Stegostoma tigrinum: one gene and its partner. The protein of the gene in region 1 purifies or fractionates together with the protein of each later gene. This does not show direct contact. Links are inferred from orthologs where the notes say so. Each region holds a gene or a part of one and is shown in the gene's direction. Other genes may lie near its edges.

Evidence for each region.
Region 2: the proteins of tjp1a (region 1) and oclnb purify together in Homo sapiens (affinity purification with western blotting; 4 studies listed by BioGRID and IntAct, with this or other methods). This does not show direct contact. The link is inferred for Stegostoma tigrinum from reciprocal best matches to the Homo sapiens genes TJP1 and OCLN.

The regions. Positions count from the first base shown.
Region 1 is NC_081389.1:26,743,427-26,754,298, reverse strand, and holds the start of tjp1a (tight junction protein ZO-1), read left to right. Parts: upstream 1-5,992; 5' UTR 5,993-6,224; coding exon 6,225-6,257; intron 6,258-10,872. UniProt on the Homo sapiens protein: TJP1, TJP2, and TJP3 are closely related scaffolding proteins that link tight junction (TJ) transmembrane proteins such as claudins, junctional adhesion molecules, and occludin to the actin cytoskeleton.
Region 2 is NC_081356.1:101,344,790-101,355,020, forward strand, and holds the start of oclnb (occludin b), read left to right. Parts: upstream 1-5,780; 5' UTR 5,781-5,994; coding exon 5,995-6,146; intron 6,147-10,231. UniProt on the Homo sapiens protein: May play a role in the formation and regulation of the tight junction (TJ) paracellular permeability barrier.

The DNA.
Region 1 (10,872 bases):
TGAACCTCATATACCAGCTGAGTAGCAAAGCACAATAACAAGGATGAAGTAATATGAACCTCATATACCAGCTGAGTAGCAAAGCACAATAACAAGGCTGAAGTAATATGAACCTCATATACCAGCTGAGTAGCAAAGCACAATAACAAGGCTGAAGTAATATGAACCTCATATACCAGCTGAGTAGCAAAGCACAATAACAAGGCTGAAGTAATATGAACCTCATATACCAGCTGAGTAGCAAAGCACAATAACAAGGCTGAAGTAATATGAACCTCATATACCAGCTGAGTAGCAAAGCACAATAACAAGGATGCTGTGAGTAACCAGGTAGACTCAGAGTGATTGTACACTAACAGATTGAATGAAAAGTCTGGAGATACAAGCTGGTTCAGGCCATGAGGTGGGTTGCGTCTGAGTGTGCAGGTCCTTACTGTAGCATTACAGTGATCTTGCTGATACAGCATTGAAGTATCTTGTAAGTGTATCTTCTGAGATGTGTCTTGCAGGTTCTAAGAGCTAGCTCCCACTGGACATGGGTTGTTTGTGGCCAGTGTCCGCGGAGCATTCCCTGAAAAGTGGTGCCAAGTGTCTAACATGGAGGTTGTTTGAAGCATGCTGAATAAGCTCACCCTGGTTTTCTTGTTGAGGTTTCCTGACATTGAGTTGTTTGGCAAGTTTGGTAAGAAGGGAAACTAAATATTTATGAGGTGAGTTCGACTGTTACCAACATGTTTAACAAACAGTAGTCCCTGTCAATGGGCAACTCGCCTTTGTTGAGCAAGAATTTCACCACACCACTTGTGAAAATAATATTAGATCGTGAGAATTGCTCCCAATATCAAGATGGGTCTCACTGTTACCAACGTGTTTAACAAACAGTAGTCCCTATCAATTGGCAACTTGCCTTTGTTGATCAAGAATTTCACCACACCACTTGTGAAAATAATATTACATCGTGAGAATTGCTCCCAATATCAAGATGGGTCTCACTTCCTGATGCTACCACATAACCTATCTTAGTCCATGTTACCCCTATGTTTCTTTTGACTAAATGAAGGAAATGACATTCTTGCTTGACTAACTTATTTGAAATTTTTGAAAAGGTATCTGAGATGTAATCGATGGAATGAAGTTGTGTAATTTATCTGGCTTTTCAAAAGGTCTTCAATAATGAGCCCCCAATTAATGTATAAAAGAAGTTAAAGATTATGGAATCTGGGGATAAGTGGCAGAATGGACCATGAACTAGTTTAAAAGCAGTAAGCAGACAATGGGAGTAAAGGTTAGTCATTCACAGTAATAAAAGTTGGGAAATGGTGTTCCGCAAGAGTACGTGTAGCAGCATTGGGATTTATGATTTGGACTTTTGATCAAAATATTTTCTCTAAATTTGCATATTATACAGGGATAGTCAATACTTCAAAGGACTGTAATAAATAGTAAGAAAATATTCATAAACATGAAGAATGGGCAAATAATTTGCATGTTAACATCAGTGCTGATATACATGAGCAGGGTAGAAAAATTAAGGACTTATTACTTGGTAAATGAAAGTCTAGGTAGGTTAGAGCAACAAAAGGATCATGGAGTACAAAAGCACCAATCACTAAAAGTTGTCACAAGTTATTAAGGCCACCAAACCAAAACCAGGTGGCATAACGTGAGATAACAAGGTGTAGAGCTGATTGAACACAAAAGGCCAGGCAGTATCAGGGGAGCAGGGAGGCTGACTTTTTGGGCCCAGATCCTTCTTCAACGAAATGTCAGCCTTCCTGCTCCTCTGATGCTGCTTGGACTGCTGTGTTCATCCAGCTCTACAGCTTGTTGTCTCAGATTCTCCAGCATTTGCAGTTCCTATGATCTCTGGCATAAAGTCAGCTTTCTTCTGAAACCATAGAATTGAAATGTGGTGAAGCTTTTTTGTGTATCTGTATTAAATCTTGGAAGACCATAATTGCAGTCCTGGAAGAATGTGCACATGTAGTGAAGAGGGTGAGAAGAAACTTAACAAGGATAATACTGCAATTCCTGCTCAGATCAGATCATATCCTATAATTTCAGGTTAAAATTTTAAAATAGAAAAAAAAATTGTTTTGACAACCCACCATTCAATGAGTTTTTTTCTGCATAATGTCCTCTCACAAGAACATAGGAAATAAGAGCAAGACTAGGTTATACTTTCAGCTGCACTATTCCGTGAATTGATAGCTGATTCTCATTTTCAACTTCACTTGCCTTCCAGAGCCTCAATTCACTTAGAAACCAAAAGCCCATTGATTACATCCTTGAACATACTCATCAACTGAGCATGCATGGTTCCATGAGATAGAGAATGACAAAGATTTTCAACCGTCAGAAAAAACAAATTACCCCCCATAAGAGTCCTTTCTGTCCAACCTCTTATCCAGAGAATGTGATGCCTAAGTTCTGGTGTCCTTCCAACATTGACCCTGTCTAATCCCCACTGAAATTTTTACTCAGCCTAAAAGTATCAACTTCCTCGTACTCATTTGGAATTGATTTTCTTCCTACTCCATTAGAATTCTGGTTTCAAATGCTTTGATCATTACGTAAGAATTTGTTTTATTCTTTCACAGTATGTGGGCATTGTTAGCCAGGTTAGTGTTTGTGCCCTGGCCAATGGAAAATGCACCAAAAAGAAATAATGTATTTTTTGAAAGTGTAAGGATAATTGAATGAAACGTTACAATACATTTACAAATGATTCTATATTTAATTAGATGCATAGTATTACATGATTCTGTTTTGATTTTACATCTAGTTGAGTTCCATGACTCACCTTGATTCTAGTTTTCAGCTTTCTTTATAGGAACAATCCATTCTAACAATGCAGAATTTACACCTTGTCTGCACAAAACATCAGTTCCAATAGGAACTAAATATATTTGTCCTAATGCCAAGTCACTGATCCGAACTTTTTCTTTCTTTTTCTCTCCGTAGATACTGCATGATTTGCTGTTTCCTTTATTTTCTAGTTTTACTTTAGATTTCCAGCACCCGCTGTACTTTGAGAACATCTCTCTTGTGAGAGAAGGCAGGAAACCACAGCAAGTTATATCTGAAATACTTGTGGTTTAAGAGTTTCCTGCCACATTCCCACTGTCACTTAGATTAGTGACATCAAATCAACCAGCAAAGCCTGAATGCTGTATAGATTCTGCTTTTGCTTTAGTCTTGTATTAAATTATATTTTAAGTACAGCATCAACTGGGAAAACAAACTATAAAAACTCTTAAGCTGAATCAGCAATATGCAAACAGGAGGGGGATTGCACAACATAGGTATCCCCAAGGTAGATGTGGTCTTAACATGAATTAATTTTGCATTCAGTTTGAGGGAAAGAAGGGTTTGTCTAAGACAGTTATTTTAAACTTAAGTAAGAGCATTTATTAGAATTAGTTGAGGTACTGGGGAATTAAGTTAAGGGGTAGATCTGTGGAGATCTGTACAGATACAGTGGCAGAAATTTAAGGAGATATTTCAGAACAATTAGAACAAAGATGCATTCCAGTGAGAAAAATTTTAAGGGTAGAATACACCATCTGTGAGTAACTAAGGAAATACTTAAAGATAGTGTCCAGTTGAAAGAGAAAGAATACAATTCCATCACGATTAGCGGTAGGTCAGAGATTAGTCAAAATAGTGCTTAGAGACATCAGGATACTTATATATAATACATGGGATAATGGCATCGAGATAGAAGAACTGCCATTATCTCATTATATGACAGAGCAGGTTTGATAAGCTGAATGGGTCTCCTGGGCTGAACCATCTCTCATTTCGGCCCTCATGCTCTCTCTTCTCTCCCACAACAAGGACAGGGTCCCCCTACTTCTCACCTACCATCCATCAGCATCCACATACATATGATCATTAGCTGCCATTTCACTACCTCCAATGGGTTGCCTCTACCACACGCACATGCCCCTCCCTTTCATTGTCAGCCTTCTTTAGCGACTGTTCCCCCAGGGACACCCTGGTCCACTTCTTCACTCCCAACATGGCCCCCAGGGCACCTTCCCCTGCAATCACAGAAGGTGTAACACTTACCTAATTGCTCTCTCCCTCCTCACCATCCAAGGCGTGAACACATCTTCCGTTTGAAGCAGCCCTTTACCTGTTTCACTCAATCTAGTCTACTGCATTATCGGCTGCTTACGATGTAGTCTCTATACTGGGGAAACGAAGTGCAGACTGGGTGACTGTTTTGTGGAACACTTATGGTCTGGCTGCCAAAATAACCCTGAGCTTCCAGTTGTCTGCCACTTCAACATGCCATCATCTTCCTTTGCCAACATCTCTGTCTCAGGTTTGCTGCAGTGCTTCATCAAAGCTCAGTATAAGCTGGAAGAACGGCACCTCATTTTCTGCTTGGGAACTTTGCAGCCTTCTGAACTCAATATCGAGTTCAACAATTTTGGAGCTGGAGCACCTTCTCCCATGTCCTTACTCCAAAAGCCACACACCTGGCCTTGTCATCACATGGGCTGTGGAAAGAAAGACGGGGGTCAATGGACCCAAACATTAACTCTGCTTTCTTTCCATGGGTGCTGCCAGACCTGCTGAGTTTTTCCAGCAATTTTTGTTTTATTTTCTGACCTCCTCCCGTTTCTATTTTGCATGTTTTTATGTAAAAAAGAAGCAACAATGACGAAGAGAATAATGAGGAGGGAGAATTTTTATGGGAGTACAAGAGAATAAATGCTGGAAATATAGAACAGATATTCCACATGTCTGGGGAATTAATGAGGGAGAATAAGCAAATAGAAGATGAATTCATCAGATTTTGTGTTTGTCTTCACTGCAGAGTACACAAATAACATTTTCAAAATAATTGTAAATCAAAAGTTGAAAGGGAGGAAAGAACTTAAAAAATATTATCACCAGGGAAAGGATGTTAATAAAATTATTGGAACTAAATTAGCACAAGTCCCCAGGTCCTGATGGGCTTTGTCCAAGGATCTTAACATTGATGGCTGCTGGATGTATTGGTTTGAATTTTGAATAAAGAAGATTTGTTACTGAAAAAGTCCCACCACGTTGAAAGATTATGAATTTGACTACTCTCTTCAAGAAAGAAGGGAGATAGGAAGCTACAGGCCAGTCAGTTGTCATGGGGAACATGCTAGAGCCTTGAAGTAGTGGTAGTACAACAATTGGAGAAAATTCTGAAGGACAGGTTTAATCTCCACTTATGAAGGCAATTTGATTAGGGATAGTCAGCATGGCTTTGTCAGAAAGAAGTAATTGTAACAAATTTGACTGAACTTTTTGAGGAGGTGACCAAGTGTGAAGATGAGGATAATACAGTAGATGTAGTTTATATTGATTTTGGCAAGTCTTTGACAAGGACGCACATATGGAAGGCTGATAAAGAGGATAAAATCACATGGGAGCCAGGATAACTTGGCAAGTTGGATCCAAAATTGTCTTCATAGTAGGAGACAGAGGATGGTGGTAGAAGGCTATGTGAGTGGAGATCAGTGCACAGTATTTATCTACAATCACAAACAACAAGGTAGACCAATATTCATGGAGGCGTGGAAGAGCGAGTGATAACTTGGGTTGTGTACGACACAAAAGGTTGGCTTCGTGGTTAGCAGTGAGGAAGAAGTTCTTGGGCAGCTGGAACTTAACCGTGATAAATGTGAAGTGAGGCCTTTTGGAAGAAGTAACTTGGGAGTACTCTGGGAAACTCAGAAGAACACAGGGTTCTTGCATGGGTGTACACGGATCCCTGGGGCAGGAGTTCGGTGGGGAAGCTAGAAACCGAGCCTGGAGTTCGAGCCCGGAGCTACAGACCGAACCCAGGGGCTGGATGCCAGTGATTGATCCTCTTCGTCGTGCGCGCGGCTCCACCATCGAAGCCGAAGCCGAGACGCGCGGGGAAACTGGCCCCGCCCCTCTGCCATCAACCAGTAAAAAGGGGGCGTTACCATATGACGAGCCGGGTGTGCTCCTATTGGTTGGTGCTGAGAGTCCCGCGGCCTTGTTGTTTTGTGCTTGTGCAACCGGCCACCGGAATTCGGGAGGAGACTGAGGATAGTCTCTTCGAGCTCAGAGGGCACGGGGAAAGCTTCGATTGAGTGGCTGTTTTCTACTGTCGCACTAGAATGCTCGCTTCCAATCTGTGAGGAAAGGCAGTGTAGCTGAGCGAGGTCGGCGTTTGTGCTTTTCCTTCAGAGAACTACGAAAACAAGATGTCCGCCCGGGTGGCCGGAGCAATGGGCAAGGTATGTGGGGGTGGAGCGGGGGGCGAATGAAGAGCGAGGAAAGAGGAGGGATGGGGACAGGAGGAGAGAGAGAGTGAGAGGACAGTTTGGGTAAGCGGGAGTTTTGGCGGAGGTGGTGAGTTCGGGATAATTGTGCAGGGAAAGGCTGAAAGTTAGCGGACGTGAACCTACTGTAGTTGGTTAGGGCAGGGGGAGGTGGAGGTGAGGCAGTGGAGTGCGAGGGTGCGTAAGTGAGGAGATCAATAAAAGGGCGGTGGTGAAACCCCGTCGACGAGACAGATACTGGTCTGTTCGTCTTAGGCTCTGTCTGGAAGTTTCCGTCGGCATCCTGCCCTGACACTGGAGGACTTTGTGCTTGCGAGAAAGGCGGGGGTATTGGGTACGACATATCAGAGGGTCCGCCAGGCACACGGCCACTCTGGTCAGGCTCTACCACGGAGTGGGCCAATGACGAGGGAATTGATAGACATTAACCGCATCTTAAGTCTGGGTTCAGTTCCTTGTCATCTCTCTTTACTGCCACCGACATTTAATTTATTGCTGGGTCTAGTTATCGCGAATGTATCGGTTTACAAACTTTCACTTTGCTGTTTGAGCTTAAAGTCTTTCCCGACATTTTTGGAGATCAGAGAGTTGGCATTTTCTTCGTAAGAAGACTTTTGGCCAGGACTTCGTTGTCCTAAAGTGAGGTCTGGTTTCAGTTCGATGATGAAACTTTTTGGTATGCAGGAGAGGAGAAAGGGTGCAACGAATATTTCTGCTGTGTAACGCTGGTTAAATCGTCATGAAACTAATAGACAGATGTATTGAGTTTCCACTGACAGGCGGCTGCGAAAGCACAGATCTGAGTTAGTTTGTGCTTGTACGTGTTAACCGACCTTGGATACTTTTGAGTTGAACTCGATGACAGTGAGCTGCAATATTAAATTCGTTTTCTTGTACTATCTGTTATTAAACTGAACAAAAGCCCTTTGAAAATATAAAGTATTCAGATGTTGCATGGTCAATACATTCTTAGTGAAGTGATATTTTGAACTTGAAAAGTATGGTCTATGTAGTAATCGAATTTGTTTAACCAAGTTGAAGAATTGATTTCAACTTTGGGTTTTTAGGGGCGAATGGTGATACTCCAGTCTGATAAACTCTTGTCTTAAGTTTCTGTATTTGCAAATCAATTTCATGGGGTAGGGGATGTATTAAAATTGTTCATTCTGCGCAGACAAGCTGTAAATACATGCAAGTCCTGCCTTAGTTCATTTTGCAAAAGCTGGCATGTCTATAAACACTTCAAGGTAGTACAAGCAAAGAGAGATCTTGAATTGAAAACATGGAGAAATGCGACCACAAAACCAAGTTTTAAAAAAACGAGAGGTCGTGGCTTCTGTGAATCAGGAACAAGAACAGAAGTTGCTGGAAAAGCTTAGCAGTTTTGGCAGCATCTGTGACTCTTCAGACCAGTACCTGTTGTGTCAACAAGGATCCACCACTGCCCTTTTAGATCTGATATGGCTCTTTGAAACAAATGCTCCAATGTTCATAGAACTTGGCTTTTATTTGAGAAATGTAGCAAGATTTGAAGAGTTCAGGGAAATCAGTGTGTTGGAATGTGGTGGATAAGGAGCTCAGCAGGCTGGAGTTCCCAGTGTGGATGGTATAAGCTGAGACCTAAAGTTGCATCAAAGCATAAATATAGTTGTAGGTGAGCATTCTGCAGGACATACCTTGGATGAAGCATGTAGAATTGTAATAAATTATAATGCAACTGCATTTGAAACAAATAAATACATTGGGTTCTTCAGAATTGTACTGTTTTGCAGTCAGTTTTAAGAATAATATGATTTGGAAACATTATCTGTCTACAGTCACCAAGTCAGGAATAACTTGGCTGGTACAAAGTGAATCAGTCAAGTTACCCCCCCAGAACGCATCTTTTGTGTCACTTGTTTCTCCTTCAGGAAAATGCAGGTTTCCTGTTTTTGCTGCATGTTTAGTAGCAACTTTACAATTTTGGACTGATGCCCACGAGAAGCCAAGTTGAAGACTAAGGTTAATTCCAAGTAAAATCTATGTATCTAATTGGAAAGGAGAGGCTTTAATTCAGTCTTGACAAGATGTAATATGTGTTGATGTGAGTGTAAGAGTGGGGTACCAAACCCAATGAATGTTCCACAACCTCAATTATATGGCACAGATATTACATTATTTTTCAGCTTCCTGTTTGGCAATGGTAAATGCACCAAATTGCTTGGTTTTGTTTTAAACATCGATTTCAGAGAAGTTAGTTCTACGAATATTAGCAACACAGATCTCTAAACAATATATTTCAGCACTTGCCTTGTGGAAATGATGCTTGCGTTTGGGACTGAGTGCATTCAGTAATTTTGGCAACCTCCTGTAAAGTAGCATGGACCCTACCTTTTCGTATCAATGTTTGAGTACTGTGAGTGAAACTGAAATTATTTCAGTTTCCAGTGTCACTTCCTGTAATTGTGTAAAACTGCAACAAAATTCAACAATGGCAACAACTGACTTTTTTTGTATGCAGCTTGTAATGAAGGTAAACATTCCCAGACACTCTACATGGATGCATAATAAGAGGAAAACAGAGGCAAGAACAAAGAAGGCAGAGTTAGTCAGAGTCATAGATTCATAAAGCACGGAAACAGACCTTTTGGTCCGACTCGTTTATGCAGAGCATGTTCCCAAGTTAAACCTGACCCATCTGCCTGCATTTGAACCATATCCCACCAAACCTTTTCTAGTTGTGTACTTATCTAAATGTCTTTTAAATGTTCTGACTGTACCACTTCCTCTGGTAATTCATTCAATACATGAACCACTCTGTTTAATAAAATGTTACCCCTTGTGTTTTTTTTAAAGTTTTTTTTTCCTTGCGCATTAAAAAAGTCCTCGTTTTGAAATCCCCAACAGTAGGGGGTGGAAAAGAACCCTTGCTGTTTACCTTGTGCCCCGATGATGATTATCTAAACCTCTCGAAAGTCACACTTCAAACCTGTTGTGCTCCAGTGAAAATAATCCTAGCCTAACCAGCCATTTTTATAGCTCAAATCTTTCATTCCTGGCAACATTCTGGTAAATTGTTTCTGAACCCTGTCCAGTTTTAAAATAACCTTGCTTGGCAACCAGAACTGCGTACAGTATTCCAGAAGAAGCCTCACCAACGTCTTGTGTAACCTCAATATGACATCACAACTCCTAGATACAAAGGCCTGAGTAATGAAGGCAAGTGTGTTAGATTAGATTACCTACAGTGTGGAAACAGGCCCTTTGGCCCAACTAGTCCACATCGCTCCTTGAAGCACCTCACCCAGACACATCCCCCATAACCCACACACCCCTGAACACTTATTTAGCATAGCCAATCCACCTAGCCTGCACATCTTTGGACTGTGGGAGGAAACCGGAGCACCTGGAGGAAACCCATGCAGACGCGGGGGAGAATATGCAAACTCCACACAGACTCCCGCCCAAGGCTGGAATTGAACCTGGATTCCTGATGCTGCAGTGCTAACCACTGAGCCACCACGCCGCTCTATGTCGCCTTAGCCACCCTGTCTAGCCGTGACACACATTTCAATCAGTAGCTTAGTCAAAAAAGTGGATTTCAAGGAGGGCCTTCAAAAGGAAAGTATTTAAGTGGAGATGTTTGAGAATACCAGAAGAAGGGTCCTGGTCAGCACTGAAGAGTGCGCATCAAAGGCCCATAAGGGCATGACTTGTTTCATAGGGAAAATAGATAATGGGGCTTACAGAGGCCAGAACCATGCAAGAATACCGGGATGAAAATGTTAGCTTTTGACTACTGGATACCGTCACCCCAATGTTGACTGAGGGGGGCGGGGGTACTGGGTTTTGTGGAACTTGTTGCAAGTCAGAATGTTGGCAGCTATGTTATGAATCAGGTAAATTTTATATGGGTAGAGGATGGGAAGCCAGACGGTTGAGCTGTGGAACACTAAAGTGTGGATACAATTGTTTGGGATCTCAGCTGCAGTTGCACTGAGCTAAGGGTGAATGAGGCTACAGAGATGAGAGCAGGTGTCTTTTGTGGTGAAGAGAATATGGAGATAGTGAAGAGATTGAGAGAAATAGAACTGGCTGTAATTTCATCTCGTCTGTGGATGATCTTACAAATGATAGTATGTAAAGTAGAGGGCACTAGGACAAATGTTCACTGGCCTGGGAAGTCATGCTGTAATGGACAAAATGATAAGCTACAGATGAGCTTGCCTACCAGTTGATGTGAGACAGTGGAGCCAAATGAGGACAGGTGAACTTTAGGTGACGATGTCAAAGGCTGCAGAAAAGTAATTGTGGCAATAAAGGAAATATGATTGGAGTGATTCAGACATGTTCTGCAGAAAAAAAAGTGGGCATGAATTTTAGTAGTGACGAAGTGGTAAACTTTGAATGAGAAAAGGAGGTTAGATATGGATTAAAAACTGAAAGAACTGCAGCTGCCGTAAATCAGGAACGGAAATAGAAATTGCTGGAAAAGCTGAGCAGGTCTGGCAGGATCTGTGAAGATAAATCAGAGTTAACGTTTCGGGTCAGGTGACCCTTCCTCAGAACTGGACCTGAAGTGTTAACTCTG
Region 2 (10,231 bases), on another chromosome or scaffold:
GCATGGCCAAACCACCTTGCTTGCGCATCTTTGGATTGTGAGTGGCAACCGCAGCACCCGAAGAAAACCCATGCAGACATGGGGAGAATGTGCAAATTCCACTCAGACAGTCACCCAAGGGTGAAACTGTACCTGGGTCCCCGGCGCTGTGAGGCAGCAGTCCTAACCACTGAACCACCATGCCATCCCGGTGCATAAATTCCACCGAAGGCAACACTAAGAAGAGGCAAGCAATATGGCAAGATCTGAGGTACTGCAAAGATAAAAGGGCTATAGCAGGGACCACACTAACTGCTTTAAAGATTAGACATACATCGCTGAAGTCCTTGGGGAAAGAAATAAGAGAGGTTAAAGACCCACATTTCAGGTAGTTAGTCCAAACTTTTACATAACAAATTACCATTTCTCTTAGTCTGAAGTGAACACATTATGAGACATAACCTATATAGGTTCCTAAAGTGGCCAAAGTTTCCGCTTTTCTTTCTTGCGTTGCACAGCCTATGCATTTAAGTGCACAGGCCTCTTAAATAACTTTTGCACAGCTATAAAATCACAGGAAAGTATGGAAAGAGTTTGACTTATGCTCAGTCTGTGTGGGAACTTCCAGGGTGCCATGTGGCACTTTAGCCCACAGGTTAAAGAGAACTGAGCAACATATTTTTAATTGGCTGGCCAACAGAAGACAGCGAGTGGTAGTAGAAGGAAAATATTCTGCCTGGAAGTCAGTGGTGAGTGGAGTTCCACAGGGCTCTGTCCTTGGGCCTCTACTGTTTGTAATTTTTATTAATGACTTGGACGAGGGAATTGAAGGATGGGTCAGCAAGTTTGCAGACGACACAAAGGTCGGAGGTGTCGTTGACAGTGTAGAGGGCTGTTGTAGGCTGCAGCGGGACATTGACAGGATGCAGAGATGGGCTGAGAGGTGGCAGATGGAGTTCAACCTGGATAAATGCGAGGTGATGCATTTTGGAAGGTCGAATTTGAAAGCTGAGTACAGGATTAAGGATAGGATTCTTGGCAGCGTGGAGGAACAGAGGGATCTTGGTGTGCAGATACATAGATCCCTTAAAATGGCCACCCAAGTGGACAGGGTTGTTAAGAAAGCATATGGTGTTTTGGCTTTCATTAACAGGGGGATTGAGTTTAAGAGTCGTGAGATCTTGTTGCAGCTCTATAAAACTTTGGTTAGACCGCACTTGGAATACTGCGTCCAGTTCTAGGCGCCCTATTATAGGTAAGATGTGGATGCTTTGGAGAGGGTTTAGAGGAGGTTTACCAGGATGCTGCCTGGACTGGAGGGCTTATCTTATGAAGAGAGGTTGACTGAGCTCGGTCTCTTTTCATTGGAGAAAAGGAGGAGGAGGCGGGACCTAATTGAGGTATACAAGATAATGAGAGGCATAGATAGAGTTGATAGCCAGAGACTATTTCCCAGGGCAGAAATGGCTAGCACGAGGGGTCATAGTTTTAAGCTGGTTGGTGGAAAGTATAGAGGGGATGTCAGAGGCAGGTTCTTTACGCAAAGAGTTGTGAGAGCATGGAATGCGTTGCCAGCAGCAGTTGTGGAAGCAAGGTCATTGGGGTCATTTAAGAGACTGCTGGACATGTATATGGTCACAGAAATTTGAGGGTGCATACATGAGGATCAATGGTCGGCACAACATTGTGGGCTGAAGGGCCTGTTCTGTGCTGTACTGTTCTATGTTCTATGTTCTATATTTTGTTTGGAGGAAGTGAGTGAAGTTTAAGGAGAAGTTCATAAACAAGCTCAGCTGGTGCTCTAGGAGGGAAGTGGTGTATGAAAACTAGTTGAACTGCTCGCATGTCGAGGAAGGTTTAGAGGGGCTGTTCCTCCATGATGAAATGGCAATGGTCAGGGTTAGGAACTGGAAATCTTTACAATGGCAGAGGGAATTTGAAGAGTAGCAGGGATAGGTGGGAAGACAATACAAACAGGAAAATAGTCAAAATGGCAAGAAGAAAGAGCTAAGATGTTGACGAAATGAAGCGTCTACCACGATTCTGAATAAGAGTCATTAGACTTGAGATGTTAATTCTGTTTCTCTCTCCACAAATGGCAGCTCTGCTGGGTTTTTCCAGCATTTTCTGTTTTCATTTCGGTCTGCCATGGTTTTCCTCTTCGTCGAGGAAGAAAAAAATGGGCTTTCTGGAGTTGGAAGGCCATAAGATTGGAGACGTGGGAGGTAGGTTTACAGCGATATGGGGTCCATGATGGTCTGGGAAATAAATGTTTAATGTTGTATTTCTGGTCCTGTAAGTAAGCAGTGTCTGATCAATCAATGATAATAAAACCAAAAGACAGAGAAACAGGCTATTCAGCCCACTGAGTCTGCTGTGCCATTTAATGAGATCATGGGTGATCTGATCATTCTCAACTCAGATGCTAGCTTTTTGTGAAACATAGATGAGGAGTCCCTAATCCCACAGTGCTGTAGCTTTCTGCAAAGTTTCCCCATTTAAAAAGCTCCTCTATTCTTCCTGTTCCAGTGAATAACCTCAGATTTTCCCACATTAAATTCCAGTTTTAATGAAATGTTACCAGTCCTGAAACATTAACCCTGTTTTTCTCTACAGGTACTGTTAGACCTGCTGTGTTTCGCTAGCATATTGTTTTCGTTTCAGATTTCCAGCATCCACAGTTCTTTGTGTTCATTCTGGCAATCCTCAATTTCATTTTCCCACCTTTACCATATAACCCTTGCTTCCTTTACTGATTAAAAATCTGTCTGTCTCAGTGTTCCCTATACATAACAACCCAGCCTTCACAGCCCTGTGTGGTAAGCAACTCTGCAGATTCATTATCCTCTGGGTAAGAAATTCCTCCTCAACTCTGTTTTAATTGTAAAACATATTATTCTGAGATTATGACACTGCTCCTATGCTACTCCACAAGGGAAAACTACTTTCCACATGCGCCCTGTTAAGTCCCTTAAGATTCTTTTATATTTCAACAAGGTTGCGTCTCACTTCTTCAGAACTCCAATGATTAAAGGCCGAATCCACTCAACCTTTCCTCCTAAGACAGTCATCCATCTCTGGTATTGGCCTAATGAACCTTCTCTGGGCTGCCTCCAATGCCATTACATCTTTCCTTAGATAAGGGGCCCAAAACTGCTTAACATATTTGAGACGAGGCTTAACTAGTCTGTGTACAGTTATTGCAAAACCTCCAAACTGTTATATACTATTTCTCGTGAATAAAAGCCAACAATGCATTTGCCATCCCATTTACCCACTGAACTTGGAATCATAGCTTTTTGTGATTCATGGATTTATTCATGATGCCACAATGCTACACCTATTTTCCATTCTTTCTCACCTATTCTTATAAAGTGTACAGTCCTAGAGTCATAGAGTTGTACAACATGGAAACAGACACTTCCATTAACTCATCCATGCTGGCCAGATAGCCTAAATTAATCTAGTTTCATTTGCAAGCACCTGGCCCAAATCCCTCCACACCTTTCCTATTCATCTATCTATTGGCAGGCCTTTCAAATGTTGTAATTGTACCAGCCTCCACCACTTCCTCCGGCAATTCATTTCAGACAAGCACCACTCTCTGCATGAAAAAAGTTGCCCCTTAGGTCCCTTTTATATCCTTCTTCTCCCACTTTAAACCTATGCCCCCTAGTTTTGGATCCACTACCCTGGGAAAAAGACATAGAAATATAGAAATTAGGTGCGGGATTAGGCCAATTAGCCTTTCGAGTCAGCACTATCATTCAATATGATTGTGGCTGGTCATGCAATCTTAGTATTCCATTCCCACCTTCTCCCCACATTTCTTGATCCCTTTACTGCAAGGGCCATGTCCAGCTCCCTCTTGAATATAAGTAATGAGCTGGCTCCATCAACATCCTGTGGGAGAGAATTCCACAGGTTCACACCTCTCTGAGTGAAGAAATTCTTCCTTATCTCAGGCCTGAATGGCTTGCCCTTATTCTTCGGCTGTGACCCCTCATTCTGGACTTCCCTAACATTGGGAACATTATTCTCACAGTTAGCCTGTCCAGTCCCATCAAGATTTTAATGTTTCTATGAGATCATCCCTCATTCTTCTAAATTCCAACAAGTACAAGCCCAGTTAATCCAGTCCTTCCTCAGTCTTGCCATCACATGAACCAATTTGGTGAACCTTCACTAGATTCCCTCAATAGCAAGAATGTCCTTCCTCAGACTCGGAGATTAAAACTGCACAACCAGACATTGACTATTCCCCCTATCCATGCCGCTCATGATTTTATAAGCATCTATGAGGTCACACCTCATAATTCATCTGCCGCAGTCAGTTTTCTCAGCTTCCTGGCATCCGTACTCTTGTCAACAGAGCTTCCGAGAACCTTGTATTGCAAGGGGCCAAGGCTCCTCAAGTGCAACCCCCAGGGTCTTCATACATGCCTCAGTGGGAGTCACACCCTCCTGACCCTAATGACTGACCAATTTTGAATAATTGTGGCACGGTGGCTCAGTAGTTAGCACTGCAGCCTCACAGCACCAGGGATCCAAGTTCAATTCCAGCCTTGGGCGACTGTCTGTGTGGAGGTTGCACATTCTCCCCACGTCTGCGTGGGTTTCCTCCGGGTGCTCCGGTTTCCTCCCACTGTCCAAAGATGTGCAGATTAGGTGGATCGGCCATACTAAATTGCCCGTAGTGTTCAGGAGTGTGTGGGTTATAGTGGGATGGGTTTGAGTGGGATGCTTTCGGGGCGGTGTGGACTTGTTGGGCCAAAGGGCCTGTTTCCACACTGTAGGGAATCTAATCTAATATAGTCTGAGTGGTGTGACAACACTCTAGACAATTTCCCCACTCCATAATGTAGAGCAATAGTGCAATTTTAATAAGACTCAGATTTGATCTAATTCACTGACTTTATTTGGCCATCCTTGCCCTGAATGCAGTCATATGAATATTTGCCTTTTGACCTGAGCAATCCCATATAATATCCTTGTTGACACTACGATAGATTCTTATCTTGAACAGGTGGATGTATTTGCATGCATAGCCTTTGCAAGATGGAGTTAGTTGGTCCAGCAACAACTGTTCTTTAGAATGGGGGACCGTGATTGTCTACAACAGACATTGATCATTAGGGTAGGGCGTGCACTCATCACGTGGATTTCCAGGCCGCTTAGTTTCTGTTGACAAATACTTCACCAAACCATTGAGTCATTGGCATTACACTCTGTCTGTCTGTTGTGGGGAAAATACCTTCTCATCGCATCACCTGTACTGCAGCAACTTCAAACTTGCGAAATAAATGCCACTGAAGGGGAAGTAACAAAATAAGATGATGGAAACACCAGTTTAAATAACAAGACTGAATGTTTTCTATGCGTTGTACGGCAATTGAATGACCAAAAATACGTCAAACCGGCATAAGTGTGAACGTGGCTGTTAGGTAACTTACAAAGAATATGCGACAAATTGATTCTGTTTTTGATATCTGATCAAATAGCAAATCAACGAAGCCTCCCCAATTTACACACATACCAAAAAAAAGCCTAACCTCAATTTCCAAGTTCACAATTACTGACAACTGAATTTTGTTTTGATAAAGCTGCGAGTTTCGAATCAGACGAAGCTCTCAACAGGATTGCATTGTTGTTTATGTTGGTGTGTAGTGAGGTGAAGGAGGGTGAGGTCTGCCTGTTACTTCACCTTCCCGCCCCCCTCCAGGGAGGTGCTGGCGGCTGTGCAGCCTATTGTCGGGAGGGTTTGGCGGGGACGTTTGCTCTCACTCTCACGGCAGGTCAGGTTTCACAGTGAGCAGCAACTATTCCACCCAACTTTTGCCGAAACACAGACTTTGAGGAGAGATAGGATTGATATCTCGATGCTTTAATATTGCCTATTTCCAGCCTATCAGTGGTTTTATATTCAACTTTTAAAGACAAACGTCAGTTATCAGTAATTCTTGATTTGGAAATTTCTGTCTGTGTAAATTAGGGAGCTTCGATCATTTGATTCTGATGTTGTATGTCTGGTGTTTGTTAAGGTTTGAGCGGGATTTGAGTTTGGAAAAGATAAGTGATTACAGAGGATTTAAACCTAATAGCGTCAACATGTCGTCGGGGCGAATGTACGACAGCCCACCTCCTTACCACCCTGGTAGCGAATACAAGTGAGTATCTCTCCAGTCACACAACTCGGCTTTTCTTTGTGAGAATTTCTTTATCTTCCGTGTAATTTATAATTATTAAGATCAACTTCGGTTCTACCTTAAGGTAGGATAAATCAGACTTGTGAATGAAATGTTTCAAGTTGCCTTCCCTTTCCTCATTCTCCTGAATGTGCTGGGGTGAGCTCCCACTGATCTCAGCTGCAGTTTTCACTTGGCTCAATTTTGTGTGAAGAGGTGAAGACGGTGTCCACCATTACCTCCTGTTTCTACCTGTTGTCTGTGTACGGTGACTGATCCCAACCCTCTCCTCAGTCGGGAACACTTCCCAATTTGTTAGAATCCACACTCAGTGCAATCTGGGATTTTCCTGGTAAGTGTTGCTTAGTTATTCACTATCTCAGAAATGGTTTGTCGTTACAATAATCGACTAAACCACAAGGAAAGGTTGGAGTTTTTTTTAACAGTGAAAAGCAAGATGGGGTGAACTTTAATTCCACCAGCAATTAATTCGTTTCAGTACGTTGCTATTATCACAGAAATTTAACTAATAGGGGCATTTCAGCATTCTCAATATTGAATACAACCAAAAGCAACAAAGTAGTTCCACCATATTCTGTGTGGTAATAATATTAAACAAATGTTGTACCTGTAACTAATAATAATCCTCTTGACCTGGTAGAAGTGTATAAAACTGAGAGCCATGGATAGTATTTATAGTCAGTACCTCTGTCCCAGGATGAGAATGTCAAATTTTCGGGGGCATTGCTTTAAGGTGAGGGGAGAAGGAGTTGGAAGGAGATGTGTGAGGCAGGTTTTGTTTTACTCAGAGAATGGTAGATACATGGAACAGCCTTGGGAGGTAGTAGAAGCAGAGATAATATCAACAGTTATGAGGTATTTAGACACATACATGAACAGGCAGGAAATGGAGAGGTACAGGCCATGTACAAGCTGATGGGATTAGTTTAGAATGGAATCATAGTTGGCACATGGTGGGTTGAAGGGCCTGTTCACGTGCTGTACTGTTCTGTAATCGCTGTTAATCCTCTGATAAGGGCGCAGGAGACCCGAGTTCAAGTCCCACCTGCTGCAAAGGTGTGTAATCACATCACATCACTGAACAGGTTAATTATAAAGTTCAAAATAAACCTCTGATCTAATGCTAGAATCTTGCTGCGCTCTGTAAGGTCTGGTCTACTGCCCCAGATGATGTCATTGTAAATGGAACATTTGTAGCTGACTGACAAACTGCGTAGAGTAGGGATCAAAATTGGGAGGATGCTGATCTGAATTGTTCAATGCCACACAATGCAGTATGTTGGTCTACTTGGACATCACTGAAATTAAAATAGGGATGGTAAAAGGATTTCACTTTAATCTATGTGCATACATTATATATTTTTGTTATGGATGGTGTGGAACTGTCTTTTTGTTTTGAATTTAATGTGTTATATATATATATGTTTATAATATATATAATATATACCGATATGATGAAATATATATATGAAAAACTGCAACCGCAGGAAATGCTACACTTGTCCCCACACCACCTCCCTCACCCCTATCCCAGGCCCCAAGATGACATTCCACATTAAGCAGAGGTTCACCTGCACATCTGCCAATGTGGTATACTGCATCCACTGTACCCGGTGCGGCTTCCTCTACATTGGGGAAACCAAGCGGAGGCTTGGGGACCGCTTTGCAGAACACCTCCGCTCAGTTCGCAACAAACAACTGCACCTCCCAGTCGCAAACCATTTCCAATCCCCCTCCCATTCTCTAGATGACATGTCCATCATGGGCCTCCTGCACTGCCTCAATGATGCCACCCGAAGGTTGCAGTAACAGCAACTCATATTCCGCCTGGGAACCCTGCAGCCCAATGGTATCAATGTGGACTTCACCAGTTTCAAAATCTCCCCTTCCCCTACTGCATCCCTAAACCAGCCCAGTTCGTCCCCTCCCCCCACTGCACCACACAACCAGCCCAGCTCTTCCCCTCCACCCACTGCATCCCAAAACCAGTCCAACCTGTCTCTGCCTCCCTAACCGGTTCTTCCTCTCACCCATCCCTTCCTCCCACCCCAAGCCGCACCCCCAGCTACCTACTAACCTCATCCCACCTCCTTGACCTGTTCGTCTTCCCTGGACTGACCTATCCCCTCCCTACCTCCCCACCTATACTCTCTCCACCTATCTTCTTTACTCTCCATCTTCGGTCCGCCTCCCCCTCTCTCCCTATTTATTCCAGTTCCTTTCCCCCCATCCCCCTCTCTGATGAAGGGTCTAGGCCCGAAACGCCAGCTTTTGTGCCCCTGAGATGCTGCTTAGCCTGCTGTGTTCATCCAGCCTCACATTTATTATCTATGATAATTGCAACTCTGGTTGTTCTGCATCATAGTGCAAAGCTCACAGAATATTAAAATTATGTGCACCCATTCCTTTGGATTAGAAAGCATACTGTTGGATGCATAGAAAATAAAGGTCTTTGAAAACAATTCATTTAGCTCCACCTGATTGTTTTTTTGGTGGTCTGAGAACCATCACATGTTAGATATTAAGCTGAGCAACAACAGAAAGTAAATTGGCCATGTGTATTTTTAAAAATTTTGAATTAAATGTAAATTCACAGCTGGAACATTTTACACAAAATAGATAACCATTTCCAGTTGAACTCTTGCTAATCAATTGAAAGCTGTTCAATATAGATCAGTCATGCAAATGCAGCGTGAATGGGAGCACGTGGATTTCTGCCACATCAGAGCTCTGAGACCACACCTGGTGTATTTGTTGGTGGAGCCAACTAATTCACCACAGACCAGTAAATGAACCCATTACTTTCCTGGGTTATGTCCACAGAGCATATCTATGGGCCAGATAAGAGCTGTACTTCTGTAGTGTACATTATTCTAAATCCACAATTTGATTAGGTTTTGATATGATTTAACACAAATATAGCTGTAGTCCACTTTTCAGGTGGTTAAAATTTCTCAATTTTTTTTGGTCTTTGTACAAATGCCCTCATGATGACAACAGGGGTCAGTTTGCTCAATTGGCTGGTTTACAACATGCAATGGTGGCAACATCACAGGTTCAATTCCTGCTCTGACTGAGGTTACCAAGAAGGTCCTTTCTCAAGCTTGCCCCTCACCTGAGGTATGGTGACCTTCTTGTTAAACCTCCACCAATCATCTCTCTTCTCTCTTTCTCTTTCCAGAGTAGCTCTATGGATTGCTTGGACTATGGCAGTTTTTCTTTTTTTGCGTTCATTTTTTACTTAAGTATTATCACTTGCAACTGAGCAATCTTTCCACAACCAAAATCACCATTTTTTTTACACTACTGAAACCGCAATGGTTAACACTGCTGCCTCACAGCACCAGGACCCAGCTTTGATTCCAGTCTGTGTGGAGTGTGGAATGTAGAACAGTACAGCGCAGTACAGGCCCTTCAGCCCACGATGTTGTGCTGAATTTTAACTGAAACTTAAGGTCTATCTAATCTCCACCCCTACCTTATACTAGCATCCATATGCCTATCTAATAGCTGCTTAAATGCCCCTAATGAGGCTGACTCCACTATCCTCTCCGGCAATACATTCCATGCCTCTGCCACTCTGAGTAAACAACCTACCTCTGACGTCTCCCCAATATCTATCTCCTTTCTCTTTACATCTATGTCCCCTTGTAAAAGCTACCTCCACCCTAGGAAAAAGCCTCTGGTTGTCTACTGTATCTATAACGCTGATCATTTTGTCCGCCTCTATCAAGCCACCTCTCCTCTGTTCTCCCTATGTATGTATGGGTTTCCTCCTGTAGTCCAAAGATGTATGGGTTAGGTGTATTGGCTATGCTAAATTGCCCTTTGGTGTGCAGGCTGGGTGGGTTAACCATGGTAAATGTGGGTATAGAGTGGAATGCTCCTTGGAAAATTGTTGCAAACTCAAAACGCCGATAGGTCTCTATCTCAACTACACAGATTCTGTGATTCTCTGTGTTACTAAACACTGGATGTGAGTTTGCTCGCTGAGCTGGAAGATTCGTTTTCAGAGGTTTCGTCGCCATTCTAGGTAACATCATCGG